7 linked regions of the Canis lupus familiaris genome follow. The protein of the gene in region 2 purifies or fractionates together with the protein of the main gene of each other region. This does not show direct contact. Links are inferred from orthologs where the notes say so. Each region holds a gene or a part of one and is shown on either strand. Other genes may lie near its edges.

Region 1 (3,668 bases), on a different chromosome or scaffold from region 2:
CTCAGTCTGGGTGTGGAATGGAGAACAGGGATACACCCTAGTAGAGGGAGCAGTCAGGAGGCTGGGAATGGACTGCGTAGCTGTGCCAGCACCTTGCTGCAGAGCTGGACCTTTCACCACAGCCCCAATGTCCTATGAGCCATTAGATGTGGAAGTCTTTGTGAACTGGAGGGGCTGCTGAGCGATCACAGCCTCTACTTCCCCACAGGAGTGTCTCACCTGCTACCCTACTTCTACCTCCTCTACTTCACGGCACTACTGGTACACCGTGAGGCTCGGGATGAGCAGCAGTGCCTGCAGAAGTATGGCCTGGCCTGGCATGAATACTGTCGGCGTGTGCCTTACCGAATCCTGCCCTACATCTACTGAAGCAGCTCCACTCACCCCAGACTGGGGCATGTGCACTCAGCACCAGGAGACTGGACTCCTACCCTGCTCCAAGCTCCAACAAGCAGGGATGAACAGCCCGGGAGAGGTGCTCTGGAGCAAGGAGAAATGAAGCCAGTGCCCAAAAATGGAGTGGAGGGGCTGTTCTTTCTCCTTGGATAAACATCTAGAAACCATGGTACCACTTCCCTCCCTTTCTGGGGCCAGGGCGTTTAAAACTTTCTAGGTAAGCTCTGATCCAGGAAAAGCTGAAGTGGTCTATGGGCCCAAGAGTCTGGGGGTGGGGTGGGCAAGAGCTGTTCCTCAGAAACAGGCACTGCTGACAGGGAAGACCAGCTTTATTAATGACAAAGAGATCCCAGTTCAGCCAGGGAGCTCCTCAATGAGAATTCTTGGAGCAGGTGGCAGGGGTCCTCCCCAAAGCTGCTCCAACTCCTCGGTGAGGGCTACCACCTCCTCGGCCGCCACAGCATGGGCTCGATGGGCCCTTGCACAATCTAGAGCCAGGGATGTGAGGGCCGCCTCATTTTCATTGCTCCAAGCCAGCAGGAACTGGCACTTCTTCCGCGCCCGATAGAGGCGATCTCGCTCTTCCGTAGCCACAGCTTGCTTCCGGGCCTGGCTCAGGGTCTGTGCCAGGTGCCCCAGGGCTGCCAGCGTGTAGCCTTTCCGGTTGGCGGGGCTTTCACCCATCAGGATGCGGGCGGCTTCGCGTATGGCACCCCGTGTGCCCAGGGGCCCAGGCGGATGCTCGCCCGCTTCCAGCACCTGGGCTGCGGCCTGCAGGGCTTCCTCAGCAGAGGCGAAGACCTGCTGCGCACCCAGGGCTCCGGAAACGCCGAGCAGTGTGGCACAGAAGTCAGAGAGCAGTGCTTCGTCGCCGCCGTGATACAAGACGAGAGTGTGCGCATAGGCGAACAGCACGTTGGGCAGCTGGAAGCGCACGAGCGGCGAGGCCCGGCCGCGGCTCAGACTGGCCAGCACGGGGATCCGGGTGGGCACGGCGGGCGCGCAGGCCTCGGGAGGGTCTTCGAGAAACGGCTCAGCGGCGGCCTCCTTCACGGGTTCCGGGGGCGTCCTCGCGGGGGTGGGCTCCAGCTCCGCAGGGTCACGGTCCGCAGCATCACCCACCTCCTCCAGAAGCCGCGGCCCAGCCCCGCGGCCCCACCACCACGGCCTCCATGGGGGCAGCAGCCGCCCGGCCTCGCCACGATTCAGCAGCCGCTCGAAGGCCACCTTCTCTGCCGGGGCCAGTAGCTCCCAGAGTCTGGAGGGCCCGCCTGGCGCCGGGCCAGGCCTGAGGCCTGCGTCCTCGGGGTCGTCCTCGGTCTCGCGTTGCCGACGCAGCCGGCGTAGGGCGCTGGCCAGACGGCTGGGCGAGGCGCTGCGGCCGCGAAGCTCGCCCAGCACCTGGTCCCGGTAGAAGTCTTCGGCGCAGGTGCCATGCGCCCGGTAGCAGCGCAGGGAGCAGTAGGGCACATTACAGCGAGGACAGGTGTAGCGCGCGGGCTGGGCCTCCCCGGCCGGGCAAAAACCGCACGGCCCGGCCGGCTCCATGGCAACGGGCGCCCCGCGCCGCTTACGAACGCTCTCAGGCCGCGCGGGGCAACTTCCGGCGCTAACCGGCTACTTCCGCCTCCGGGCAAGGCCGACGGGGCGTGGTCAAAGCCCCCGAGGACTCTCGGCAACTTCCGCCCCTGCTCGGTGGCCAAGCCCCACCCCTCTATCTAGTAGCGCTCGAGCCGGCGCCGGCGTGGGTCGAGGGGGCTGGTGCGCAGCCGGAGCTCCGCTGGTGCCCGCCCGCCCCCCAGTGGCTCCTTTTTGAGCGCTATAAAACGCCCTTGGGGAGTCGATCTTCGTGAGGCCCTACTCGGGCCACTAATTGCGCAGGGCCCTGGGGAAGGAGGCGTGTTGAGCTGAGGGGCAGCCGTTCTCCTACGGGACAGAGACCAGTAAAGCGAGATGTAGAAATAGGGTGAATATGGACTACGTGGCCGAGACTCTGTTTTTGGAGGTGTTTCCCCTCTTGAGAAGAAAGAACAGGTAACTGAGCTCCTGTTTGGTTTCCCCTCCAAATCCATGGTTCATCCGACCTTTATTTTTTTTAAAGATGTTATTTATTTATTTGTTTGTTTATTTATTTATTTATGAGAGACAGATACGGGGGGGCGGGGGAGAAGCAGGCTCCATGCAGGGAGCCCGACGTGGGACTAGATCCCGGGTCTCCAGGATCACGCCCTGGGCTGAAGGCGGCGCTAAACCGCTGAGCCAGCCCGGCTGCCCCGGTTCATCCGACTTTTAGTACCGAATCCATGCTATGTGCCAAAACACGAGGAGCAGAGATGGGATCCCTCGCCTGATGGAACTTCGTTTGAGGCCTTGATCCATGGCACCCGGGGAAGTGAGCTCTGGTTCTTTAGTCCCTCACATCTAGTCCTGTGGAGGCCGAGAAAATTAGGGCCATTCAAGTTTAACATTGGCACAAGTACAGCCATTGCACCTTGGGCAGCCATCTCAGGCCACTGTGACCAGGTACTGAACTCTACCCCAGCTACAGAAAAAAACCACAAAGCATGCCCTTATCAGAATAAGGAAGCAAGGGATCCCTGGGTGGCGCAGCGGTTTGGCGCCTGCCTTTGGCCCAGGGCGCGATCCTGGAGACCCGGGATTGAATCCCACGTCGGGCTCCCGGTGCATGGGGCCTGCTTCTCGCTCTGCCTGTGTCTCTGCCTCTCTCTCTCTCTCTCTGATGACTATCATAAATACATAAAAATTAAAAAAAAAAAAAAAGAATAAGGAAGCAAGAGCTTGTGAGACCTCTTTACTGGAGATTCTCACACCCCCACCCTTACTGAAACCCCCCCCCTTACCCCTAGACCAGCCCATAGAAACCCAGCTGTAACCCACCTCAGGGTCCAAGTCCCTGCTTCACTGTGTCAGGTATACTTGGACCCAAGCTCAAGCTTGTTAATAAACCCTTATGTGCTTGCATCCGTGTCAGCTCCTTGGTGGTTTTCTCGGATTCACAATCTTGGGCACAACAGTCCCATCCCAGTAAGTTCGACCTTCATAATACCTTGTCGTTATTTCTACATGGATCATCTATTTATCAAGATCTGGATGGAGATCCCTGGGTGGCACAGCGGTTTAGCGCCTGCCTTTGGCCCAGGGCACGATCCTGGAGACCCAGGATCGAATCCCACGTTGGGCTCCCGGTGCTTGGAGCCTGCTTCTCCCTCTGCCTAGGTCTCTGCCTCTCTCTCTCTCTGTGTGACTATCAT
Region 2 (4,094 bases):
TAGGCAGAAGGAGAAGCAGGCTGCCTGCAGGGAGCCCAGTGCAGGACTCAATCCCAGGACCCCAGGATCAGGACTTGAGCCAAAGGCAGATGCTCAACCACTGAGCCACCCAGCCACCCTACAATTTACCCATTTAAAATGTATAGTTCAGCAGCTTTTAGTATGTTCACAATTGTACACTAACACCTCCAGGACATCTTTATCCTCCTGAGAGGGAAACCCTGTAGCTCTTGGCCATCATCCCCCAGTCCTCTCAGACCCCGTGGCCCTAGGTCACCACCAATGTACTTCCAGTCTATGAATTCACTTATCCTGCATGTTTCATATAAGTGAAATCATGCCATATGTGATCTTAAGTGTCTGGCTTCTTTCACTTTGTATGTTTTCAAGGTTCATCCACACTACAGCATATGTTGGAACTTTCTTTTTATGGCTGAACAATATTCCAAGTGTTTACATACCACGTTTGGTTTATCCATTCATTCATTGATGGATATTTTGGGTTTTCCCACCTTCTGGCTCTTGTGAATAATGCCACTGTGAACACTTGGGGATTCTCGAACTGTCCTGGGGGTACTTACTCATCTCTCTCCCCTATATGAGAAGAGATGGTGGCTGGCTCCTTTTTTCAGAGAGCTGAGAACACCAGAGGGCTCAGTACCTGCTTGTTATATCAGCTCAACACTTCAGTACATCATTCATCCAAACCCTAACATTGAACCCCAAGTGAACAAGCAAGGTGTGGGCTGTGCCCTTCGTGGGACTCACATCCACCAGAGCCGATAATATTGAGCTGATAGTCTCCCTTCTAAATGTGAGATTACACAGGGAGATTGGGCTCCCAAGGGAGACCTTTTGTTCTGTCCAGACCTCCAGAGACCCTGGAAGGAGTCAGGCCGGGGCAGTGGTTGGGGGGCCTTCCTTCGTGAGCGTCACTAGATCTGATTCAGTGAGGGAAGTGAGGAGAGCAGGCTGGACTCTGGGACATGGGTGTGCAAGGGCCTAGTGACAGATTCAGGCAATGTGGTACAAGGGGGCTGGGCAATCAGGGACCAGTTTGCTGCTCTGCATTGGGTGTTTGTCCTTCCAGTCATGGGAGTGGGGAGAGCTGCTTCCTTCAGAAATAATTTCTGGGCTCCAAATAATGTGCTAGGCCCTGGGGACAGTGCTGTGAACGAGACAGACACGGTCCTTGTCTTTCTGGGACACTGTTGACTGGGGTCAACCAACCAGCGTTAGTGGTGACAAGTAAGAAGGGTGGGAGTGACAGTTGTTTGGGTTATTGGCCTGCCTGTGGGGAATAAGAATGGAAAGGACTGCCTCTAGGGATGTGGGCAGGAGGGACAGAGGAGTTGGTGAAAACTGGGATCATAAGGGCTTTTCTGATATGTCTTCCTCTATCCCCAGACGGCCACAACCAAGGTCCCAGAGATCCGAGATGTGACAAGAATTGAGCGTATTGGTGAGTGAGCAGGGTCTAGAGCCTGCCTGCACCCCACAGAGCCAACCAGCCCAGGGGCCATCGCATCCCCCTCTCTGATGGGGGGAGATAGGGCTGAGTGCCAGAGTGGGCTCAGATGGCACATGGAGGACCTTGCTAGGCTGCAACCTGAGATGCAACCCAGGCCGCACTTCTGCTGGCTTGGCTACCCCAGTTAGGCTCCTGGGTGTCCTAGCATTTTGCTTGGAAATCATAAAAGTGTCTGCTTGCTGAGTGCCTACTGGGCTTGGCCTAGAACTGAATGTCCCATGCCCTCAGCGCACACTGGCATTAGCTCCATGAGGGCAGGGACCAGGTCTGGCCTGTTTCTGGCTGTGTCCCTAGCAGGGGCCCCAGCAGAGCAGGCGCTCAACAGATAACCAGCAAATGCATGAGTTCATGTCCTGCCAGGTTCTCACAGCCATCCCAGCAGATGTGCATTGTGACTGCTCTCCTGTATTTTATTTAATGGAGGAAACTTTGACTCAGAGCAGTCAAACCACTGGTCCTGGCTCAATGTGCAGAGTAGGCCATAAATCTAGGAGTACGAAGTTGGGGTGTAGTAGGCCAACAGAGTGCAGCCTCCGCAAAGAGCTTTACCTGCATGGAAAAGGAAACTATACTCCTTTGTGCACATTTGTTCACTCTGCCTATAAGGGAGGCCCAGAAGTAAAGAGGCTAGCAACGTGGGTTCTGGAGGCCCGGTGCTGGGGACCACTTTTGCTGCAAGAGGCTAGTTGCTCTCTGCCCTGGAGTCCTTATCTACAAAATGGAGCAAAGGTGTTCACCTCATCAGTATTGATACAAGATTCCATCAGGTCATCGATAAAAAACCCTCAGCATGCAAGGGCCAACACGGTTTCAGCTATCAAAAGACCCAGTAGACACCAGCTACTCCCAGTACCAGCCCTCAGGATGCTTAAAATCTAGTGCTGGGGTCAGCGAATCTTTTCTCAAAGGGCCAGACAGTAAATCTCTTCTGTAGAAAAATCATCAGTTCTCCCATTGCAGTGTGAAAGCAGCCACAGGCAGTAAGTAAGTTAGGGGGTGTGGCTGTGTTCCAATAAAGCTTTATTTACAAAAACAAGCGACTGAGCCATAGGCTATCATTTGCCCAGCCCTAGTCCATTGTGAAACATTGAAATCCCACGTCTTTACCTCTTGCTGGGCTGTGTGGTCTTGGGCAAGGGGCCTGACCTCTCTGGTCTCCCTTCTCGAATTTGTGTTGATGAGGGCCTGAGGAGTTTTTTGAACCCCAGAAGCACTCCTGGGTGGTAATAGCTGGGACTCCTGTTTCTCAGGGTCACGTGGCACAAAATAAGAATCTGTGGGGCCACTTAGGCTATAAACATAAAGTGTTTGTGATTGTTAGTGGTCACGGTTAGATCCTGATCTGATGTGGTTAACCAGATCTGGGTGATTCTGGTTCCCTCTGCTGTATCCTAAGGGCAGCTCCAGCTTATTGAGCATTTACCCCCACTAGCTATTCTCCCAGTAACGTAGAGACATGGACCCACCCCCCCTCATTTGACCAAGGAGGAAGCCAGGGCTGAGAGAAGCTGCCCCTTTCCTCAGGCCACACATTATCACGAGCTGGCTGGTAAACGTGTCTTCTGGTTCTTCCTCCTCCACCCCCTCTCCCCCGTCCCCCCACAGGTGCGCACTCCCACATCCGGGGACTGGGACTGGATGATGCCTTGGAGCCACGGCAGGTAGAACTGAGGGCAGTGGGCTGGGAAGGCTGATCCATGGATGTACAGGGTTCCCAGGGTCCCTGGGCATGTTAGGATCTCCCAGACCTTTGGCTACATATCTATAAAATTTAGCCACATGTAGAGTTTTATTAGTCCTAAAAATTTGGGGTGGAAAAGGCTTTTTTTGCTTTTCCCAGGCCCTAACCAGCATCGTGCCCTTTCGTCTCACTGGTCTGGAGGTGGTAGAAATGGGGGTGGCAGTCCAGTAGGAAGTCACATGGTGTGCTCTCACCTCCCACTCTACAGGCTTCCCAGGGCATGGTGGGGCAGCTGGCAGCCCGGCGGGCAGCTGGTGTTGTGCTGGAGATGATCCGGGAAGGGAAGATCGCTGGGCGGGCTGTGCTCATCGCTGGCCAGCCGGGCACTGGGAAGACGGCTATCGCCATGGGTAAGAGGCCTCTCAGGGCAGGAGCTCTTCTGGTCCCTGCCAGTTAATCCTTTCTGTGTAAATCAAGGTTGGGTTCGGCCACATTCAACAGACAGCCCAAAATGGCAGAGACTTAAATGCTCTGCTTCATTCTGTCACATAGAAGAATCTGAACATAAGCCACTTAGGGCTTGTTGAGCTGTTCCATCAAGTATTCACCTTTCTACCTCAATATCCTCTGTACTTTTTTTTTTTTTTTAATTAATTAATTAATTTATTTATGATAGTCACAGAGAGAGAGAGAGAGAGGCAGAGACATAGGCAGAGGGAGAAGCAGGCTCCATGCACCGGGACCCCGATGTGGGATTCGATCCCGGATCTCCAGGATCACGCCCTGGGCCAAAGGCAGGCGCCAAACCGCTGTGCCACCCAGGGATCCCTCCTCTGTACTTTTATGGCAGAGTCACCTCATGTTCCAAGAGGGTTGCCTAAG
Region 3 (4,094 bases), on a different chromosome or scaffold from region 2:
GAACAGATCCATGAGAAGAGGACTGCCTTATGACAATGGAGACAGATGGAAGTGTTGGAGCTCCAATCCAATAACTACCAAAGGATTCCTGGCAGACAGTCAGATGCTAAGAAGAAGAATTCTCATCTGTATGTTTCAGAGAGAGACTTCTGGCTTTCAGAACAGAGAAAACAAATTCCTGTTGTTTTACGCCACCCAGTTTAGTCTGTGATACTTTGTTACGGCAGCCCTAGGAAATTAATACACCATCTATCTTTCCAGCCATATCACCCTTCCCACTTCTGCACAGACTATAAGCCAACTACGCTGAAATACTGGAATATGCCATCTTCCCTTCTTGGTTTGCACAGGATATTCCCTCCACCTAGATAGCCTTTCATAAATTACCAACCAGTTGAACTATTCATTCATACAGCTTCTTCATGAGGGAGTTAAGTGCTTGATCTACAGTGTTCCCTGGAGTGGTTCATGACATACTAACACCACTTAGTATGTTAAACTTTATGCACGTCCATTCATCCTAGCAGACTGAGCCCTTTGTGGGCAGGGACTATATTTTATATTCCTAGTGCCTAGCAGACTAAAGGTACTTAAATATGGAATCAATGAATAAAAGATCCAAATAGTACAAAAGTCCTCTATGAAAAGATGTCATCTATATACAATTTAATCCACAATCCAATTTATTTAGGTAATACTATGTTAGGCACACACAAAGTATCAATCTACTACTGAAAAACAAACCTTAATCTATAAGATTCTACCAGTGATGACACATACGACTGAAGAATACCACTAAAGAACAAACAAAACTTACTGGGGGAGTTTTCTGAGAGAGCTCTCTATTCAACCTGTCAGTAAAACTCTGTATTAGCGTGTTTCCTCCTGCCACTATAACACTGCCATAGAGACCCTAGGATAAAAAACAAAAATATATTAGTTCCAAATGTTTCCAACAGTTTTAAATACAACTACAACTAATAGTATATCCTCCTCTACAATTTTCCCTTTTTTAATTTTCTTCTATACAGATCTAGTAGCTTGATCCAGTGGTTCCCAATCCTCACTGCACATTCAACTCATTTAGGGAATTTATAGGACATCAATGCCTGGGGGCTATTAAATAAAATTCCAGGGGTGGAGCCAGGCAAAGGTTTTGTTAGTTTTAAACTCCAATGATTCTGGGGCGCCTGAGTGGCCCAGTCGGTTGAGCATTCAATGCAGTTTTAACTCCCATCATGATCACAAGGCTCATGGGATGAAGCCCCGCCTTGGGGCTCTGTGCTCAGCAGGGAGTCTGCTTAAAGATTCTCTCTGCCCCTGCCTCCACTTGCGTGTGTGCTCTCCCCTCTCTTTAAAATCAATAAATAAATCTTAAAAAAAAAAAAAAAAAAACCCTCCAGATGATTTAATGTGGATTAAGGCTTAAGAACCACTAATTTAAAGCAATTATTCTAAAACTAAAACCCAATCATAATTTTTTGGCAGATAGCTGCCAATATTTAGTAGAGGTATGTTTTATACCTTCACCTTGGAATGCTCATCTAGAAGTATTCAAAATTAGACAGTGAAGATTATTTAATGATTATGACAGTGCATAATCTAATAAGATCCCTGACCAAAATGACTGTTACCTTTCTCTTTTGCAGGGGTATACATCAGAACCACATAGGGACTTTTTTTCAAAATCCACCCCAAAAAACTGAGTCCCTACTTACAAGCAGTTCCTACTTACAACCTCTAATTTGCATGTATGTATCATATCAGAAAGCTAAATGTCAGCCTGCTTTTTAAAGTTTTTTTTTTAATTCTGTTAGTTAATATACATGTCAACCTGTATGCTTTCTAATGGCTAAGTTCATATTTTAAAAATTTATTCCAAATATCTAAATCCTCTAACTTTTAAAAGAGAAAATGGAATATAGAAGCACGTCCTCTGCAATCAGTATTTGTTAATTAAGGGAGAAATCTCACTAAAAACAAAGTTATCACACTCTTATAGTAAGTATAATTCAATTTAATTGCCTTCCCCCAAAGTGGCCTTGAGTGTGTGTTAAAAATCTGTGTGCACATCCCTATTGTCTTAGAAGCACCATGTGTTTGCTAGGTGCTAGCTGAAATATAGAACATTTTTTATTGCCACCCAAAAGTCTTTTTTGAAAGTGTTTTTTTTTTTTTAATTTTATTTATTTATTTATTTATTTAATTTATGATAGTTACACAGAGAGAGAGAGTGAGAGAGAGGCAGAGACATAGGCAGAGAGAGAAGCAGGCTCCATGCACCGGGAGCCCGACATGGGATTCGATCCCGGGTCTCCAGGATCGGGCCCTGGGCCAAAGGCAGGCGCCAAACCGCTGCGCCACCCAGGGATCCCTTGAAAGTGTTTTTTAATACATCCCTAGCTATTAGTACTATGCTCTAAGCAAATGAATTAACTCAATTTTTTAAGGCAGTATGTTGGCTACAAATTGAATCTAGGGTTTAAATAAGATATAATCGATCTAATAAATACTATGTATATAATATGGAGCTAGCATTTAAAACTTGGCAAAGCACAAAAAATATGAAGGTTGATCCTCTAAGCTCCATGTAAAAGTTATAACGTAATTTAAACCCACACCTTTCTGAACAATAAAAGTAGCAAAACTATATACAACAAAAGTCACCAATAATATTTATTTTGGTTTGTCACATTTTAGGAAATCTCTAGAAGAGCACTATCCAAAAAAAACTTTCTGTGATGACAGAAATGTTCCCTATCTGCACTGTCCTACAGTAGCCATTAGCTGCATTTACAATGTGGCTAGTGCAGCTGAAGAACAGAATTTTAAATTTTTACTTATTTTAAATTGTCACATGTGGCTGGTAGCTTCCACATTGGACACCATAGCTCTAGATTTCTGGATTTTTCCTTTTCTAGTACTTCATGATTTTACATACTCTAAAATAGATTTCAAAGTCAAGGGTCAAAGTTGCCAACTTAATTAAATATTGATCTGGGAGCACTCTCTTACCCTAAAAAATACCTTTATACCATAAGCAGGAGGCTGACACTTACTGGTCTGATATCAATATCGCACATTCCAACACTTGTAGTGACAACGTGACTGACTCCCAGCATTGTATTTCCTGATAACCCCTACAACAAAATAAAAATGAGTAGTCAACAGAAGAACTTCAAACAACATACCCAAGAATATCTAGGCAGTCTTATTTAGGTTTTATAATTACACAAGATCTTCACATATACAGGACAAGCCATGCAAATTATGAATCAAGCTTTCATACCTTTACATTGGAAGGGTCAAATAATCCTTCAGGAATCTTTAACCGCTCTGCTCCAAAGTCACAGTTGTATCCATTAGGGAATTCATAATGAACAGTTGGCATCTGTGCAGCTACTCTGAAAACATAGTAAACATTAAACAAAAGACAGAATCCTATTCGAAATTATAAACTAAGAAATTATCAACTTATAAGAAAGCAGAATATCTTTTGTTATTCAATATTTCTTAACATAATTTTTTACCTTTAGACCAGTTAAGCGTATTCTGCAATTCTTTAACTAAATAAATCATATTTCTCTCCTCATTTATGAAGTATTCAGTGTTGAGAAGATTAGTATGAAGGTTTTAATGAGCTATTATAAATCTTATAGATAAGAAAACATACTGTTCATCATAAGTTGAATCTGATACTTGAAGTACTGAAGCTTGAAAATCCTGGATAACACACTATGGATTAAAAAAAAAAAAAGTTTTTAAGAAACAAGGTTATGGAGATTTGTCTTTGCAATCTATACTTTTGTAATATTATATTTGAAATACTTAATGAAACTGGACCATGTTCCTGGATGGCAAAGTCCTTTCATGGGTATAAATCTATCCAGCAAGGACTCAGAGTATCAAGAAACCCAATTCTAAACATCTGCATTAAAAACTAAATTATATGACATTTAAATTAACAGTAATTATGGAACAATAATGAGATTAAAAAAAAAAAATCAGGAACCCTCATACCTGTCCTGCATAACAAAACTGGTTTCAGAACACTGTTCTTTCCTTAAAGATAAGCCTAGACTTAGATGCAAGAT
Region 4 (4,094 bases), on a different chromosome or scaffold from region 2:
TCTCCCTCTGCCTGTGTCTCTGCTTCTCTCTCCCTCTCCCTCTCTCTCTTTCTGTCTCTCGTGAATAAAATATTTTTAAAAAAATAATTATAAAAATAACTATTTTTTATAGAAAATGTTATTTCCTCAATTCAAGAACCAATTAAAGTTTACAAATTGTGTTTGCTTGTTATGGCTCAGTAGTGTCTTTTAACCTGTCACATTCCTTTGTCCTTTTATCTCCTTGAAACATTGACCTGTGAAAGGCCTAAGCCAATTTGTCTTGTAAAATGTCCTATGTTTTGGATTTGTCTGATTATATTCTCCCACTAAAACTTTCCTTTTTACTGATTTCAGACAACCTGTATCCAAAAGGATGGAGTTGGGAGAAGGAAGACTTCTCAGGACAGGGATGAATGCATTGTACCAGGCAGTACACCCAGTTCATGGCCTGGTCTGGACTGACGGGAATCAGGTAGTCCTAACTGATTTACAGCTTCACAGTGGAGAGGCCAGGTTTGGGGACTCCAAGGTCATCGGACAGTTTGAACATGTATATGGGGTGTCCTGGGCCCCGCCTGGTGTAGCTGACATGGCTGCTCTGCTCGCTGTCCAGCACAAGAATCATGTCATTGTGTGGCAGCTGTGTCCCAGCACTACGGAGACGATCAAATGGGTGATGTCTTGGATCTGTGAGATTAGACAGTCACTCCCTGTCCTTCCCCAGGGCTGTGTGTGGCATCCAAAGAGTGCTGTCCTGGCTGTGTTGACTGCACAGGATGTGTCAGTCTTCCCAAGTGTTCACTGTGACTGCTCCAGGGTGAAAGTGGACATTGACACCCAGGGCCTCATTCACTGTGCCTGTTGGACCCAGGATGGCCGGAGGCTGGTGGTGGCATCTGGTAGCAGCCTGCATTCCTATATTTGGGACAGTGCTCAGAAGACTCTCCACAGGTGCTCCTTCCATCCGGTGTTTGATGTGGACAGCCATGTGCGCTCCCTTAGTGCCACTGTGAACTCACAGGTTGCTATAGCCACTGAGCTTCCACTAGATAAGATTTGTGGCTTAAATGCATCCGAAACCTTTGCCATTCCACCTGGTGGTGAAGACACTCATTTGTGTACTTCACCAATTACTGAGGAAGTACCCATTGGGGATGAGGGAGCAGTTGCTTCTGAAACAAATTTTGAAACATCAGTGTCTCCTGTTTCTTCCTCTTCAGATCCTCTGGATCTAACTCATATACATTTCAATACAGCTACGTCTGAGAGTAGTTCTCTTATTTGCCTAAGAAAAAAGGACTTCTTGACAGGAACTGGCCTGGATTCTTCACATTTGGTCCTTGTGACCTTTGAGAAAGAGGTCACCCAGACCAAAAAAGTCACCATTCCCGGCATTCTGGCTCCTGATCTAATAGCTTTTAATCTTAAAGCACAGGTGGTGGCGGTGGCTTCCAATACTTACAATATAATTTTTATCTATTCTGTCATTCCATCGTTCACACCAAACATCCAGCAAATTCAATTAGAGAGAAATGAAAAGCCAAAAGGTTTATGTTTCCTGACAGATAAGTTATTATTAATTTTGGTAGGAAGACAAAAATCCACTGATTCAGCATTTCTTCCTTCTTCAAAGACTGATCAGTATACCATTCATTTGATTGTTAGAGAAGTAACATTGGAAGAAGAACTTCCAGTCACATCGAGTGAAAACCGGAGTGGATACTCTACTTTCAGCACTCTGTTAAATAAAACAGACAGAAAAAAACTAATTGAAAGTCTTTCCCCAGATTTTTGTTACCAAAACAGAGGGCTCTTAACAGCTAAAGGCAGCAGGCAAAGTGGAAAGCCTGAAAGAACCCTTATTAAAGAAATCAAAAGTCCTCCAACCAGTGTCTGTGATGGCTTCATCACTCTTAAAACTCTAGATGCTGAGCCTGTTAACGGCTCAGTATCACTGCCCAGATCCAGGAGCACACCCAACCACACCCTAAGTCCAGAACCTCCTAATTTGCTTCCAAGAAAGAACTTACCAAGGGAAAAGGAAATTTACCAGCTGTCTAAGGAAATGGAAATTTTATCTAGGACCCTGACTGAAGTACAGCGATGTCTTTCTGAACTCACAGATGCTCTACATCGTGAGAAGTCCTCTCCTGTGTATCCGCCCTCTCAGGATCTGCCCTATGTGCACATCACTTATCAGGTAACTTCTTTGAGGAGCTACCACTGTACGTAAAAGTTCCTGCAGCCAGTGGGTACTGGTAAGAAAAATTCATTGATGAGGAAGATGGTGTTCTAGCTGAACTTCACTGAACTGGGCATGGTACATTACAGGCAAGTTGTTATACCTCTCTGGGTTGGTTGGCTGCCAACCAGATGGGCACACATGCCAGCATACACTGTGATTATATCACATGCGTGGTATAAAATATGAATGAGTGTACTCATCCTGGCAATTTATATTTAGAAAAAAAAGAATTTTCCTTATGTGGTATTTCACTGTGGGAAACTTTTCCTTATGCAGAGAGAAAGGTTAGGTTGATTTTAAAAAGTTTAATGCATCTGCAAACATACAGTATTACACAAATGGGATTATATCTTATCTGTTTTTATCATAAACATTTTTTCTTTCCCATTGAACTTGGCCCTGCCCCCCACCATAATCCGCTTTAACCCACGGCTTAATGTGGCTCCCTCCACTATTTTAGGTCATACTCATATAATCTTACACACTTCTTTATATACATAGGTCTATAGATGTGGGAGAGGTTGTCATTGTTGTACAAAACAGGGTCCTAGGGTACATTCTTGGTGCTGAGAGTGCACTGTTGATGTAGCTGGTCCCGTGTTGGTGGATATTCACATTGCCTTTGGCTTCTTCACTTTTGTGTCTTCAGTCACTCCAAGTCGTGCTGTAGTAGTACTCTTCTGTGTATCTATTTGTACTCCTACTTTTATTTCTGTTGGGTTGGTTCCCAGAAGTGGAAGTGCTAATTTGAAGAGTATATATATGTTTCTACTTTTAACAGAGCTACCAGATTGCCTCTCAGAGATTTTGTACTTAATGTATCCTCACATACCCATCCTCAACCTATGGGACTGTCCTTTCCCTCAAATCCTCATCAGTCTGATAAGTGTGAAGTGCTTTTCACTTTTATTCCTTTTTTTTTAATTTTTTTTTTTTAATTTTTATTTATTTATGATAGTCACAGAGAGAGAGAGAGAGAGAGGCAGAGACACAGGCAGAGGGAGAAGCAGGCTCCATGCACCAGGAGCCCGATGTGGGATTCGATCCCGGATCTCCAGGATCGCGCCCTGGGCCAAAGGCAGGCGCCAAACCGCTGCGCCACCCAGGGATCCCTCACTTTTATTCCTTTGTATTTCCTTTACTATTAGTGAATTTGAGTATGTCTTCATGGTGTTTGGCTAATTAAGGATTAATTGCCTATTGCTCATTTTTTTCCTATTGAGCTATCAGTTTATAAGAGGTTTTTTGTATATTATAGAAATTAATGTACATGTAATAGTCTAGATTCTCTTACTATTTTATTATATTAGTTTTTACATTGAAGTTTTTAATCTTTCATTAAATTTTGGTGTATGGCCCACTTTTATTTTCTGAGAGATAACCAGTTGTGCTGGCAGCATTATTAAAAGTCCATCTTTGGGACACCTGGCTGGCTCAGTATATGGAATACGCAGCCGTTGATCTCAGGATCTTGAGTTCAAGCCCTACATTGGGCATAGAGCTTACTTTCTTTCTTTTTATTTTTTTAAGATTTTATTTATTCATGAGAGACAGAGAATGAGAGGCAGAGACATAGTCAGAGGGAGAAGCAGGCTCCCCGCACAAGGAGCCTGATACGGTTTGTGATTCCAGATTCCAGGATCGAGTCCCACATCGGGCTCCCTGCGAGGAGCCTGCTTCTCCCTCTGCCTATGTCTCTGCCTCTCTCTCTCTCTGTGTCTCTCATGAATAAATAAATCTTTAAAAAAATAAAATAAAATAAATTCATCTTTAATCCCACTGAACTTGATCTACCACCACATTTGTCATCTATAAATTTATATACTGGGATCTAATTCTCTGGGTTCTCCATACTCTAACTACTATA
Region 5 (4,819 bases), on a different chromosome or scaffold from region 2:
AGTTTCTATCTCCACTATTGGCTGATCAGCTATTCCTCTTTTTAATTGTTTTTTTTTTTTCTTTTTGGGGGAGTTGGGCCAGTATTTATAATATACATCTTTAATTTATCACTATTTTAAAATTCTATTAAAATACTTCACATAAAATGTAAGATCTTTACAGATTTATTACCTCCACCTTCTGTGCTATTCTTGTCATATGTATTTTACTTCTACATATGTTATAAACCTATAATACTTTTAAAAATCTAAATGATTGGGACGTCTGGGTGGCTCAGTGGTTGAGTGGTTAAATAATTCATTTATTTATGAATAAATAAAATTGAGATTTTTGAAATAAAAATCTTTTATTTTTAAAAGATTCAAAGTGAGGAAAACGATGTTTTACATTTATTTGCATATTTTATAGAACTGCTTTTCTGGTTAACAACATTATTTCAAGGGGGGGAGACGACAGTCTGCCAGTGCATTTTCTACTCATCTTGGCTAGATATGCATGTCTTAATTTTTGAGTTATTGTTACAAATAGCTCGATTAGGTGTTTTTTTTTTTTTTTAAGATTTTATTTATTTATTCATGAGAGACACCAAGAGAGAGAGGCAGAGACCTAGGTAGAGGGAGAAGCAGGCTCCCTGCGGGGAGCCCGATGTGGGACTGGATTGGAGGACTCCAGGATCAGGACCAGAGCAGAAGGCAGACACTCAACCGCTGAGCCACCCAAGTGTCCCACGTTGATTAGTTTTGTACAACATTGTACCTACAGGGTGCTTCTGATCTAGGCAACAATTTACAACAGAGATTTGAGGACATTTCTGAAGGCTACGATTCTGTTTCACAGGGGTGATCCATCAACCAATGAAACAATTCACAATTACTAATTTGTTCAACTTTTCTCTGTGCATTCATTAGTTAAACATGGATTAATCATTAACAATGTGCCTGACTACAAGGGAGGCGCTGGCATACAAATAAAAAAGGTCCCTTTTTATTCTGAAGAATCTCCAGAGTAGGTTTTAAATAGAAAGAGAATGAAATCAGCTATTAAGACGCATTAATCGGTGTCTTGCTCGCAGTGCCTACTGACATTTCTCCCATAGGTTCTATAACTTGGATGTAATATAACGGTAAGTGGTTATTATAACAATAAGGGAGGGTTGCTTAATGGATGCAGCTTCAGCTTTGCAAGGTGAAAAAATTCTAGAGATCTGGTACCTAACGATGTAAAATAGTCTAACACTTCTGAAATGTACACTTAAAAATGGTTAAGACGGTAAATTTTATGAGTATTCTTTTCACTACAATCCAAGAATAAGAAAATATGAGGAGGAGGCGCAGCCCTAGGGTGCCCTGTTGTCCGGATCCTTTGGCTAAAATTGAGTGTTGGCAGCTCTTCCACCCAGCCGCCGAGCCTCAGAAACTCCGCCATTCATTTTCCCCCAGGGCCCAGGGTGGGGTGGCCTCGGAGATTCGCCAGGTGTCGCTGTGGCCGCGGCCGCCCCCGCCCCGCCCTGGCCCCGCCCCCCACGGCCCTGGCCCCGCCCCCCCCCGCCGCGTCTCGCCCACTCGCGGCCCCGGCCCCGCCCCCGCCCGCCCTCCTTCCGGCATCCGGGCCTGGCGGGGCGGGCTCGCAAGGCCGAGCGAGCGGAATGGAGGTCCGCGGCGAGCCCCAGGCCGGCGCCAGCTGCTCGTCGTCCCCGCGGGGACGCTCGGCGGGCCCGGTGTCCAAGGAGCTGCTGACGGCCGGGAGCGGCGGCCGCAGAGGTGACGGCGGGGGCGGGGCGGGGCGGCGTGGGTGCGCACGTGCGGCCGGGGGGCGTGTGCCGGGCCGCGGGGGGCCGCCGGGGAGGGGGGGCGCGGGGCCCGCGATGCCGGTTCGGTTCCGCGTGGCGGCGGGCGCCCACTCAGCGGGGCGGCGGCGCGGGTCCAGGCGACTGTTGGGGGTGGACCCCGCGCCGGCACCCGCCGTGCCCACGCCAGCGGCCCCAGGGCCTCGTCTCGCTAGTAGAGGGACGCTTGGCTCTAGGAAGTCACCTAGGACTTCAGCCACGTAGTGGAGAGTGCAGAAGCGTGGATTCGAATCCCAGCTCCGTGATTGATGGCTGTGGAACCACAGAGAGCTGTTTGCATTCTCGATGCTCCACTCTCCACATTTGGAAAATAGAGGTAGCTCTACCTGTTGAACGGGTGTTTCGCTTTGTTCGTTTGTTTTGGTGGAGAAGGGGAAGGGGCCTAAGGTCTTGGGCATACCCTCCGTGAATATTAGCTTGAAGAAGACCCAGAGCATCCCGAATGCCAAAGCTTGTGTAGAGCTTGCTGTGACCCAGGATTTAATGAACTCATTTCATCCTCACAAAAAACCCCGTGCAGAAGGTTCCGTTATCTCTGTTTTATAGATGAGGAAACTGAGTCACAGTGCATCATACAGATGAATAACTTGCTGGAGATCATGTGGCTGAAAAGTGACAAAATTGGGATTCGGATCCAGTCAGTCTGATTGGATTCTTTGGGCTCATCCATTTGCTAGACCTAAAGTGGTGGTCAAAGAATATTTGTTAAGCTCTGCTTTGGGGTGAACAGGGCTTTTGTACTTGAGTGAAAAGTTTTTCCAGGTGTTGGAAACAGGGGGATCAAGGCCTAGAGTTTTGGGGCACCTGGGTGGTTCAGTGGTTGGTTGAGTGTCTGCCTTTGGCTCTGGTCGTGCTCCCCGGGTACTGGGCTTCCCGCATGGAGCCTGCTTCTCCCCCTGCCAGTGTCTCTTCCTTTCTCTTTGTATGTGTCATGAATAAATAAATAAAATATTAAAAACAAACAAACAAACCTTGAGTTTTGAAAGACAGATCCTGTCCTCTGAGCTCTGATGGACTGAAGAGTTTGTTAATTTGAGGAGTAGTGAGTGATGCGCCTGAATAGGTGCACAGGGGTCAGGGGTGGGGGATACGGTCAGAAGTTCTCCCAAGGGCTCATTTGTCCGGGTTGGACATCTTTAATGAAGGTCCACTAGCAAGACAGGTGTGCTTTATAAATGAACGAATGCTCCGAGAGGTTAATTTGTCCGGTATAACACAGCCAGTAACCATTTCTGGTTTCACTTAACCATTGTACTCTGTACTGCTTCCTCTGCCCCTTTGTTGAAGAAACTCATTGGTCACTGATGGATTTCTGACCCACAGAGGTGCAGGTTAGTTTGCACATATTCCCCAGCATCGGTGTCACATACAGATGTATGAGCCAGGCCTAAGAAAGAGGAGGGGTGGGGGCAGCCCTAGAGACCCAGGGTCGAGTCCTGCATCGGGCTCCCTGCTTGGAGAGCCTCTTTTTCTAAAAATATGTTGGGGAATGTGGAATGTTCAAGACTTGAGAGCAGTTGTGGCAAGTTTGCGGAAGGGCCCCCATTTCTTGATGCTGCAGTCAATTAATTGTGTGTGTGCTTTCAGGTATATGGGACAGGTTACTTATCCAACCCAAGCCTAACTGCAGAAAAAATGCCACTCTTCAAACAGTTCGGGTAGAGAGGAGTCCCTGTAAGTATATTTTCCTTGCTTTCTTTCTCTTCTCCCCTTCTTTCTCAGGAACCCTCTCTGATGTTAAATTTTGCCCAGTTGAGCAGTAGAGCTCCACAGTGAACCCCAGTCTCGCCAGAGCTGTTCATTGTCCCCCCATGACTGCTCAGGGTCTCAGGAGCTCTGACAGTGTTTTCCATCTGTGGAGTTCCATTTGAGTCTTTTTTTATCTTTTATTTCTTTCCTCGTTGTGATGGCAGTTGTGTGGGGCTTTGTATTACATGACCTTATGTCATTCTCCCAGCAGCCCTCTTTTACAATGAAAGGCCATTTCTTGACCTTCACTACCTTTTTCTTTTCTTCTTCTGTACTCTGGATAGTTCAGTTCTGTATTATGTAGCTGTGTCAGTGGCTTAACAAGTTTTGAGAATTCCTTGTGTGCATAGTTATGTGCTGAGCCTCTTGAGAGCTACAGAAACTAGACATACCTTGTTCATTGATTCCCTGTACTTAGCATAGTATGGTTATCACCCCTGTTTTAACAGATGAGTAAATTGATGTTTTGAATGGTTAGATGAAATTTGCTATTTAGGACACCTGTGGTTGCAAATGACTAAACTCCAGCTCCAAACCTGATACATCTAACTATTAAGCCATACTTTCTCCTTATTCAGTTACTATTGGTCAAAGTGCCAGCCGTCTAGGAATGTACAGTTCTGAGGATATATGAAAGCACAAATAAGCATTAAGAAATATTCACTACCTTGTGTAGTCCTGCTTTAAGGATTCAGAAGAGGATGGAGGTTTTTAAAATGGAAGAAATGTGAAAGATTTTTTTTATTATAACTATTGTTACTATTGAATTTGGGAGTGTTTTACAGTAAATCCTGGATTTTAGAAATTGGAGGGGCACCTGGGTGGCTCAGTGGTTGAGCATCTGCCTTCGGCTCAGGACGTGATCCCGGGGTCCTGGATCAAGTCCCACATCAGGTTCCCTGCATGGAGCCTGCTTCTCCCTCTGCCTGTGTCTCTGCCTCTCTCTCTGTGTCTCTCATGAATAAATAAATAAATAAAATCTTTAAAAATAATTGGATGTTTGGCCAAAGACTGACATAAATATTGATAAAGTATATTTTCTTTCCTTAGTGTTGGACCAAGTGCAGACCTTTCTCCCACAGATAGCTCAGGCAAATGAAAAGCTGAGAAAAGAAATGGCAGCTGCATCACCTGGTCGTTTCAATATTGAGGATATTGATGGGGCTCTTGGAAAAGTTATACAAATGGTAATGATGCTTTGTTTTCATTTCATAGGGTAAAAT
Region 6 (4,094 bases), on a different chromosome or scaffold from region 2:
TGAAGACAGATGTTCAACCCACTGAGGCACCCAGGCTCCCCTTCTTTTGTAATTTTTACCCCAGGATAAAAAAGACCCAAGCTTTTAAAGGTATTTTTAGGATTATATAGCACTGATATGGCAGATTGAATGATTGGTCATCACAAATTCCTATCTCATTTTAGAAAGTAATGAAACATACTTCATTTTGATACTTCATTTTTATGTAAAGTGTACCTTACCCAAAAACTGATTTGTGCCTCAGCTTTGGTTTCCATGTATTAATTGTTAGGAACAGAAAGCATATATAATAGTAATAATAAAAGCAAAAGCAGATGTGAATTAAGAGGAAGAATTAGGGAGACAGGGATAGGAGAACATGAATATAGTCTGAGTCATGGCATGAGGGAAAACTGAAGAAAGGAAGAGTGTGTGTCCCTGAATCATGCCCCTTGCCTCTCTTAGGGCTCTTATCCTCTCTCCCTTAAAGTCCCCTACAATGAGGTGTTTATTCCTTGTTTGTCACAGTGTACTGCATGGCTGAAAGGTAGAGCTGTGTATGGTGGCAACTTAGAAATAGGCGATTTTATTGAATTAGATTTGTGGGAAAGGTGAGAGATTTTCTCATGATCTGGAACACTTAATTACTGTAATTAACAATTATAGTCCTCTGTAATTGCACAGGGCACAGAAATTCAGTAAGTCATTGATGTGAAAGTCTTTTTCCACCCACATGAGATTGGGAATGAATTGATACTACTTTGAGGTGATAGAAGAGTATATTGAGTTTTTTTCCTTTTTAGTTCCATATGATTTAGTCTGTAAACTGTCCTTATGTAAATAGGGTCTTCCTCAGGAACTGGAAAAGTTGGAACAGCTCTGACAAAGTACTATGATGATATATATTTTGATTCTGATTCTGAAGATGAAGACAAAACAGGTTAGTAGCATGTTTACCAGGTTTAGTGGTTACATTTTATAGAAAAAAGGTTTACCTAACAATTTTTGGACATTAGGGTTTCCCTCTGAGTTTTATCTTTTAGAAATTGTAGGCCATTGATGTGAAAACAAAAGCAGGAATGATGAATAAGAACAGATAGGAATGCACATATGAGGACGTGGGACCAGCCATGGTGCTGCATGGGCATACGACAAGGAGAGTGTGTCCTGACTCAGTCCTGACTTCCTTAGGGCTCTTGGCCCCCCCTTCCTTAAGGTTCCTTAGTGCAATAATATTTGCTTTCACACCTGTGAATAGTTCCTATAGTTTTACAGAAAATATACAAACATATATATTTTATATTTTTCTAACTCATTGCTTTTTTATTGGCTTCTCTATTCTCTGGAATTGATTTTGTATAAAATCTGAGCAAAAGTGAACATAAGAGTTAAAATTAACTTAATATCATAATTACACTGGAATGCACAAATGACACATTTATATGGTAAAGAAAAAATTTTATATATACATATTTTAAAGATTTATTTGTTTATTTTAGAGAAAGTTCACATGTATGGGGTGGGGAGGAGCAAAGGAGGGGGAGAGAGAAAGAGACAGAGATATGGAGAGTTTCAAGCGGACTCTCTACAGAGTGGGGCTCAGTCCCACAACCTTGAGATCATGACCTGAGCCAAAACCTGAGTGCTCAACTGACTGTGCCACCCAGGTACAGGTACCCCAGGTACCCCAAGAAACAATTTTATATTTTTATATATTATTACTTAAATATTAACCTATATAAGTACATTTTAAAGTCTAGTGCATGTGGATAACCAGTGTTTTTTCACTTTTTAAAAAAGATTTTATTTATTTATTTTGAGAGCGATCACATGTGCATGTGCCTGCTTACGTGAGTCGGGGGAGTGGCAGAAGGAGAGGGAGACAGAACCTCAAGCACTCACCCTGAGTTCAGAGCCTGACATGGGGCTCGATCTCATGACCCTGAGATCATGACCCAAGCTAAAATCATGAGTTGAATACTCAAGTGACTGAGCCACCCTGGTGCCTTTGTTTTTTCATTTTTGAAATATTTTTGTTCTGATTTCAGTAGCATTTTATATATAGGAACTTGTTGACAATTATAACATCAAAACGTTTCTGATCTTGGTTCACTTTGAGTGGCTTTTCTGAGACCAAATTCTCATTATGTGAGTTCAGTTCTTGAGATAGCACTATGTTTTTATTTTTTATTTTATTTTTTATTTTTTTTAAGAATTTATTTATTTATCCATGAGAGACACAGAGAGATGCAGAGAGAGGCAGAGACACAGGCAGAGGGAGAAGCAGGCTCCATGCAGGGAGCCCGACGTGGGACTCAATCCCGGGTCTCCAGGATCACGCCCTGGGCTGAAGGCAGCGCTAAACCGCTGAGCCACCCAGGATGCCCAGCACTATGTTTTTAGTGAAGAAACAATTTTTTCATCTTCTGTTATCTTTGATTTTTTTTTTTTAAGATTTTAATTATTTATTTGACAGAGACAGCACAAGCAAGGAGAGCAGCAGAGGGGGAGGGAGAAGCAGGCCCCCTGCTAAGCAGGGAGCCCAATGTGGGGCTCGATCTCAGGACCCTGGGATCATGACCTGATCTGAAGGCAGATGCTTAACTGACTGAGCCACTCAGGTGCCCTGTCATCTTCATTTTAATGCCTTGTTAATTGGCCAAGAGGTTTATTTGGAGGAAGAGTTAAGAATTTTTTTAAGGAAAATATAAATAGAAAAAAAAATGTAGCTGAAGATTCTGTGTTCTGTATTAAAGAGGTATGTACTTGAGACATGATACCTAGCCATATCCTTAACGTTTTCAAAATTAGCACAGGTAACCAAGAAGAAAAAGAAAAAACGACACAGGATTCCAACAAATGATGAGTTATTATATGATCCTGAAAAAGATAACAGAGATCAGGCCTGGGTTGATGCACAAAGAAGAGGGTAAGAACTTAACTTAAATATTTAGAATCTTTAGAGAAAAATAATTAAAAGAGGATTTTCACTACATTCACATTTTAATGTATGTATATGTTCACATAGACATAAAGAATTTTGGAAAAAAAAAAACCTGCTGAATTGTTTGTTTTGAAATTTACCAACACATTTCAGTCATGATTATTTTATTTTATTTTTAATTTAAAAAAAGATTTAATTAGAGTGAGAATGAGCATGGTGAGGAGGAGGAGAGAGTCCTATGTGGACTCTGTTCTGTGCATGGAGCCCGACATGGGGTTTGATCCCACAACCCTGAGACCACAACCTGAGCTGAAACCAAGAGACAGATGCTTAACTGACTGCCATTGAGGTGCCTGTCAGATGATTTATTTACTTATTTTTTTTTTTTTTTTTTTTTTTTAAAGCTTTTATTTTTTTTTAATTTTTTTATTTATTTATGATAGTTACACAGAGAGAGAGAGAGAGGCGCAGAGACACAGGCAGAGGGAGAAGCAGGCTCCATGCACCGGGAGCCCGATGTGGGATTCGATCCCGGGTCTCCAGGATCGCGCCCTGGGCCAAAGGCAGGCGCCAAACCGCTGCGCCACCCAGGGATCCCTATTTACTTATTTTAAAGATTTTATTTACTCATGAGAGAGAGGCAGAGACACAGGCAGAGGGAGAAGCAGGCTCCTTGCAGGGAGCCCCATGTGGGAGTTGATCTTGGGCCTCCAGGATCACGCCCTGCACCGAAGGCAGCACTAAACTGCTGAGCCACCCAGCCTGCCCCAGATGGTTTATTTTTAAAACACTTGTTGAATTCAAAATGCTGTAGTCAGTCTCTCCAAGAAACAAAGTTGACTTTTCTCAAATAGACATAATTTTAAATAATTTGATTTTTTTAAAGGTTTTGTTTATTTGAGAGAGAGAGTATGTGCACACAGGAGAGTGGAGGGCGCAGGGGTAGGGGATAAGGGCAGAGGGAAAGGGAGAAGCAGACTTCCTGCTGGGTGGGGAACCCCATGTGAGGCTCCATCCCAGGGCCCTGGAATCACGACCTGAGCCAAAGGCAGACGCTTAACTGCCTAAAGCACCCAGGTGCCCCACAAATTTGCTTTTTTAAAATTGAGATAAAAATCAATTAATTGATTTAAAATTAATCATTTTAAAGCGAACAATGCAGTAGCATATA
Region 7 (4,802 bases), on a different chromosome or scaffold from region 2:
GACTAAAACCGCGTTATGAAACGGAAAGAATGACAAGTATTGTTTATCACCACAGATGCTGACTACCTGAATTTATGGATCTCATATTTTAAAAAGAAAAAAAAAAAACTGTTTTGCCAAAATGATGTCGAACTAAAACGACCCCAGAAAGAACTTTGCCAAAGCTGGGAAGTCTATTTGGCGAACACAAACCCTAACTGTGCAAACAGGCACACACTCTAATGCACCGGAGCGGGAGCGGCGAGGCGGGGGTGAATTCGGGAAACCACAAGGTTAACATTTCACGGAGGAGACAAGCCTCAGCCCCCAAGGTCCGCACTGCTCCAGGCGCCCTCGGTGAACCGAAACGCCGTGCTCCGAGTGGAGGCGAGCACGGAGCTCGGGGTCACCCGGCCGCACACAGCATCCCCGCCTCCGCGCAGCAGCGCCCGGCGGGGTCCCCGGAGCCAGGTCAGCAGGCTGCCTGCCCCGCCGCCCTCCACGCCGCTCGGAGCCGGCGGGGCACGGCCGGTGCAGGGGGCCGACTCCGGAGGTCAGCGCCGGGCGCCGCCGGCCACGGAACATCGGGGCCGCGACCCCTGCCCCGCCAGGACCTGGACGCTCAGGCGGCGCCTCCCGCACGACTGCCGGGCCCCGCGGTCCCCGAGCTGCACGCAGCCTCCCGGGCCGGCGAGGGCGGAGGCGGACTGGCCCCCCACGCCCGAGGCTCTAGCTGACCTGGAGAGGTGCTTCAGGATCTGTTTCTTGATGAGCCCGGCCATGGTGCCGGGCCAGGAGGCGGCGCGCTCCCTCCGCGTTTCTCACTGCCTCCTCTCTTCGTGGTCCGGACTAGCCCGGCGAAGGGTCGCGTGAGTGCTCACGCCCGGGAGAGACCGAAGGCCCCGGCCGAGGCCACAGCCGCCGCCGCCGCTGCCGCCGAGGACCCGGAGCATCGCTCTCAGGCCTCCGTGGCCGCCGCCGGCGCCATCTTGGCTGCAGCATCACCTAAGAGACCTGGGGGAGGGCGGGGCGGCGCGGACGGGGCGCGGGGCGGGGCGACGCGGGGGAGGCGTGCACGCGGGGACGCGCGGGGGGCGGGGCGACGCAGACTGCGGGCGGGGGGAGCCGCGGGGCGGGCCGCGCGGGGGGGGGCTCGGGGGGGATGCACGCGGGGAGCGCGGGCGGGGGCGCGGGGGGGGGCGGCGGAGCCCTGCGCGCCCCCCAACGCGCCCCGCGCTGACCGCCCCGCCCCGCGCTGCATGAGTGTCTTTTGCTGCCGCGCCGCTCCGGATCCCAGAACCTTCCTGGGCTTCACATGCTCCGTCTGTGCTCTGGCCTGGTTCCTGCCTCCATTACGGAGTGCTCCTTCCACATCCTACTTGTTTTTTTCATTTTTCACAATTTGCTCCACAAACTACCCTGCTCGCTTTGCTCTCTACCTGCTGTACTCCGCTTTCTTCATACGCCTGCCTCAGTTTCTTCTTTGCTAAGATATACTGCTCCTCCCCCTCCCCCCCCCCCCACACACACGCCCATGCTGTAATTTAATGTTTCCTCTGGTGATTCCAATCCTGAGGGAAGTAAAAGTTGACAACGTGTCTTAAGAGTCTAGGACCTGGGAATTAGAAGACAGAAATTCAAGTCCTGGCTCTGTGGTTCTAGCTGTGTTAACCCGAAGAAAATAATTTCCTTACTTTTAACCTTAATTAGAGACAAAATACGTTAATCGTGTATTCTATAACCGTCTCGCTAGGTTGTGGCTACGGAAATAAGAATGCAAAATTTCACATGAAAATTTCAATGAAAAGGAAGGAAATGATTGAAATAGAACTATTACAGCTCTCCACCTCACCCAGCCCCAAAGCAACATTTTCAAAGAGTCAAAATAACCACCCAGCGATGTCTCAAGGAGGAAAGGTATTAACACTACCTCTGAGGGATGGATCAGGAAGGATCTGGTTAAGGGTGGGGGAGAGAAGGTAGTTCACACATAGTCCAACAAGCTGCCCTTTTTGAAGAAAGGAAAGGAGATAATGCTTGACTCCTCACCATTCCTCATGCAATGCGAGCTAGGCCTTATTCTGGGGTTGCCTAGCCAAAAACAAACAAATCTGTTCTGTCATCAAAGAGTTAACAGACTAGGTAGGTAAATAGACTCTCAAGACCTTGAGGTAAGTCCTTCGACTTACCTCAAGGTCCAATGCTACCTGGGCCTTTGTGTCGCTATGTAAACTTGGGCAAGTGATTTAATGTGTCAGCCTCAAATTCCTCATCTATGCAAGATAATATTAAGTTTCTAACTCAGAATTTATGAGATCTAAATGAGATTATGCATATAAAGTTTTCAACAAAGTGCTCAGTACTAAGCAAACTCTTTAATAAATGCTATTAAATTAGCATTATTGAAAACAGATGCAAAGTGTTATGAGCCCACGAAGAAGGAGTGATTTGTTCTACCTTAGGTCAAAGGCAGATTTACAGTAGAGATGTTATTTCAAAGATGAGACTGAATTAGCTTAATGCATTGACCTTGAAATTCAAGATTTGGATGTAAAACGTAGCTCTGCAGATTTTTTAACAATGGAATCGTAGGAACAGTATGGAACCTCTCAGGCTCCATGATGGTTGTTGTGAGGATTAACCAAGCTAATGAAGGTTAAGTAAGTACTAGACTACTTGAAAGAGTGCCAGACACAATATGATGGAATTAATTCACTAGCAGGAAGAGTATGTTCCAGGCAGGTGGAAGTGTCAAAGCTCATGGCTTATAAATGGCAAGTGGCCTAATGTCGTGGCTAGAACAAAACACAGATTCCTTTTCCAAGTTGTAAGTATTAAAGAATCTCACAGCTTAATAACTATAGTTGTAGTATAGTTTAAAAAAATTCAACTAAGCAAATCGAGAATTTGTCTTTATTAAGCAATTCATTAATTGGGATCATCCCACATAGCAAGTAGAGGGAACTCCCAAGGAAGGAATTGTACAAAATGGAAAGTATTTATAGGAAGGAATTTACAGGGGATCCCTGGGTGGCTCAGCGGTTTGGCGCCTGCCTTTGGCCCAGGGCGCGATCCTGGAGATTCGGATCGAGTCCCACATCGGGCTCCCGGCATGGAGCCTGCTTCTCCCTCTGCCTGTGTATCTGCCTCTCTCTCTCTCTCTCTCTGTGTCTATCATAAATAAATAAATAAATAAATAAATAAATAAGTAAATAAAAAGAAGGAATTTACAGGACGTTATTGCAAGAAAAGAAAGAAAGACAAAAGACTGTTTCAGGCAAGGTCACCTTCATTTAGGGGGAAAGGCCAAGAGCCCTATTAGGTGGATTACCTTATTTTCCTTTGGGAGGGATGTTGGGATGAGGAGGGACCATGTGACAGATTACCTAATTGATGCAGACCAGAAAATTCCAGGCTAATTGGCTTAAAATTCCACACCTAAAGAGGTTGAAGCTGTACTTAGGTCTTGGTTTGCTGTGGGCAACTGACTCTGCCTTAAGCTTGTGTTTTTTAATGAGTTTTTACTGATTTGTACCAATATCTTTTTATTGAGAAATACATTTGCAATTTTTCTGTCCCTGGATTGAGGGAACATATGTCAAAACCACTATAAGGGACCCCTGGGTGGCTCGGCGGTTTAGCGCCACCTTCGGCTCAGGGCGTGATCCTGGGGTTCTGATGGAATCCCATGTCAGGCTCCCTGCATGGAGCCTGCTTCTCCCTCTGCCTGTGTCTCTGCTTCTCTCTCTGTGTGTCTCACATGAATAAATAAATAAAATCTTTAAAAAAATAACACTATAAATTCAGTGGTTTAAATAAATTCACATCTTTTTTTTTTAAGATGTTATTTGTTTATTTGAGAGAGAAAACATGCAGGGCAAAGGCAGAGGGACCAGCAAATTCCTCCACTGAGCAGGGAGCTCAACATGGGGCTCAATCTCAGGATCCCGAGATCATGACCTGGGCCCAAGTCAGATGTTTAACTGAGCCACCCAACACCCCTTTACATTTTTCTTAATTGCTTTTTAATTATCAAAGTATAATTTTTAAAAGTTAAAAAACATGACTGTCATACAGATGTATAATGGATATGCACCAAAGATTTATCAACTCATATTAATGTAAAAGCCAATAAAATAGGAGTTAGAGCTAGTTCACTCATTAATAGGACTTAAAACTGTTGCACATGTTTATTATATACTTGTAACAGAGTCATATTTTTAATTCTTTTAAAATTATATAAGCAGGAGTCAAGGGTCCCTGGAAAAAGACACCACTTCCTTCACATAAGAAAGGTCATTTTAGGAGGCACCTGGGTGGCTCTGTTGGTTAAGTGTCTGATATGATCCCAGCTCAGATCTTGATCACAGAGTCTTGAGTTCAAGCTCTGCAGTGGCCTCCACCTACTTCCATTTTTGTACAATTTCTCTACTTAGAATTCCCCTTAGTTGGCTAGATTGGATACTGCCTGGTTCATGAATCTTTCAGTAAAGCCAATTAAATTTACTCAGTTGAATTGTATTTTAACAAAAGTAATATATGCTTGAGATTACTTGAGCTAAAATCTGGTAGGGGAGAGAGCATGGTATGAAGTGACTAGACTCAGAATTTTTACTGAACAGTCTTGTGCTGAAAGTGGGCTCCTACAGGGTCATGAGAACCAATTACATGCATTTCTTCCCAGCTCTGTGTTCAGGGTTTGGTGACTTCAGGATAGCTGGAAATCAACCATGGTGACAGTATCTATAACACAGACCATGGTAAACCCTACAGATCAGGGCTTTTTTTCCCCCTGGAGATCTGGTTGTTGACCATTTACCAGC

The links.
Region 1: the proteins of RUVBL2 (region 2) and ZNHIT2 purify together in Homo sapiens (affinity purification with mass spectrometry; 5 studies listed by BioGRID and IntAct, counting the BioPlex papers as one, with this or other methods). This does not show direct contact. The link is inferred for Canis lupus familiaris from reciprocal best matches to the Homo sapiens genes RUVBL2 and ZNHIT2.
Region 3: the proteins of RUVBL2 (region 2) and ACTL6A purify together in Homo sapiens (affinity purification with mass spectrometry; 11 studies listed by BioGRID and IntAct, with this or other methods). This does not show direct contact. The link is inferred for Canis lupus familiaris from reciprocal best matches to the Homo sapiens genes RUVBL2 and ACTL6A.
Region 4: the proteins of RUVBL2 (region 2) and WDCP purify together in Homo sapiens (affinity purification with mass spectrometry; 6 studies listed by BioGRID and IntAct, counting the BioPlex papers as one, with this or other methods). This does not show direct contact. The link is inferred for Canis lupus familiaris from reciprocal best matches to the Homo sapiens genes RUVBL2 and WDCP.
Region 5: the proteins of RUVBL2 (region 2) and C10H12orf45 purify together in Homo sapiens (affinity purification with mass spectrometry; 4 studies listed by BioGRID and IntAct, with this or other methods). This does not show direct contact. The link is inferred for Canis lupus familiaris from reciprocal best matches to the Homo sapiens genes RUVBL2 and NOPCHAP1.
Region 6: the proteins of RUVBL2 (region 2) and E2F-associated phosphoprotein purify together in Homo sapiens (affinity purification with mass spectrometry; 3 studies listed by BioGRID and IntAct, with this or other methods). This does not show direct contact. The link is inferred for Canis lupus familiaris from reciprocal best matches to the Homo sapiens genes RUVBL2 and EAPP.
Region 7: the proteins of RUVBL2 (region 2) and ACTR6 purify together in Homo sapiens (co-immunoprecipitation; 7 studies listed by BioGRID and IntAct, counting the BioPlex papers as one, with this or other methods). This does not show direct contact. The link is inferred for Canis lupus familiaris from reciprocal best matches to the Homo sapiens genes RUVBL2 and ACTR6.

The regions. Positions count from the first base shown.
Region 1 is NC_049239.1:52,582,172-52,585,839, reverse strand, and holds ZNHIT2 (zinc finger HIT domain-containing protein 2), read right to left. Parts: upstream 2,011-3,668; 5' UTR 1,945-2,010; coding exon 751-1,944; 3' UTR 708-750; downstream 1-707. Other genes in the region: delta(14)-sterol reductase TM7SF2, read left to right, coding at 209-369. UniProt on the Homo sapiens protein: May act as a bridging factor mediating the interaction between the R2TP/Prefoldin-like (R2TP/PFDL) complex and U5 small nuclear ribonucleoprotein (U5 snRNP).
Region 2 is NC_049222.1:108,068,146-108,072,239, reverse strand, and holds part of RUVBL2 (ruvB-like 2), read left to right. Parts: intron 1-1,407; coding exon 1,408-1,462; intron 1,463-3,136; coding exon 3,137-3,192; intron 3,193-3,480; coding exon 3,481-3,622; intron 3,623-4,094. UniProt on the Homo sapiens protein: Possesses single-stranded DNA-stimulated ATPase and ATP-dependent DNA helicase (5' to 3') activity; hexamerization is thought to be critical for ATP hydrolysis and adjacent subunits in the ring-like structure contribute to the ATPase activity.
Region 3 is NC_049255.1:13,153,097-13,157,190, reverse strand, and holds part of ACTL6A (actin-like protein 6A), read right to left. Parts: intron 3,736-4,094; coding exon 3,674-3,735; intron 3,405-3,673; coding exon 3,290-3,404; intron 3,141-3,289; coding exon 3,060-3,140; intron 914-3,059; coding exon 818-913; intron 1-817.
Region 4 is NC_049238.1:18,578,305-18,582,398, reverse strand, and holds part of WDCP (WD repeat and coiled-coil-containing protein), read left to right. Parts: intron 1-336; coding exon 337-2,182; intron 2,183-4,094.
Region 5 is NC_049231.1:34,428,985-34,433,803, reverse strand, and holds the start of C10H12orf45 (uncharacterized protein C12orf45 homolog), read left to right. Parts: upstream 1-1,603; 5' UTR 1,604-1,646; coding exon 1,647-1,761; intron 1,762-1,924; exon of another isoform or gene 1,925-2,132; coding exon of another isoform or gene 2,133-2,163; intron 2,164-3,434; coding exon 3,435-3,521; intron 3,522-4,646; coding exon 4,647-4,783; intron 4,784-4,819. UniProt on the Homo sapiens protein: Client-loading PAQosome/R2TP complex cofactor that selects NOP58 to promote box C/D small nucleolar ribonucleoprotein (snoRNP) assembly. Acts as a bridge between NOP58 and the R2TP complex via RUVBL1:RUVBL2.
Region 6 is NC_049229.1:13,550,733-13,554,826, reverse strand, and holds part of E2F-associated phosphoprotein, read left to right. Parts: intron 1-823; coding exon 824-919; intron 920-2,790; coding exon 2,791-2,908; intron 2,909-4,094. UniProt on the Homo sapiens protein: May play an important role in the fine-tuning of both major E2F1 activities, the regulation of the cell-cycle and the induction of apoptosis. Promotes S-phase entry, and inhibits p14(ARP) expression.
Region 7 is NC_049236.1:39,612,327-39,617,128, forward strand, and holds the start of ACTR6 (actin-related protein 6), read left to right. Parts: upstream 1-1,727; 5' UTR 1,728-1,896; intron 1,897-4,802. Other genes in the region: UHRF1BP1L (UHRF1-binding protein 1-like), read right to left, coding at 718-761. UniProt on the Homo sapiens protein: Required for formation and/or maintenance of proper nucleolar structure and function. Plays a dual role in the regulation of ribosomal DNA (rDNA) transcription.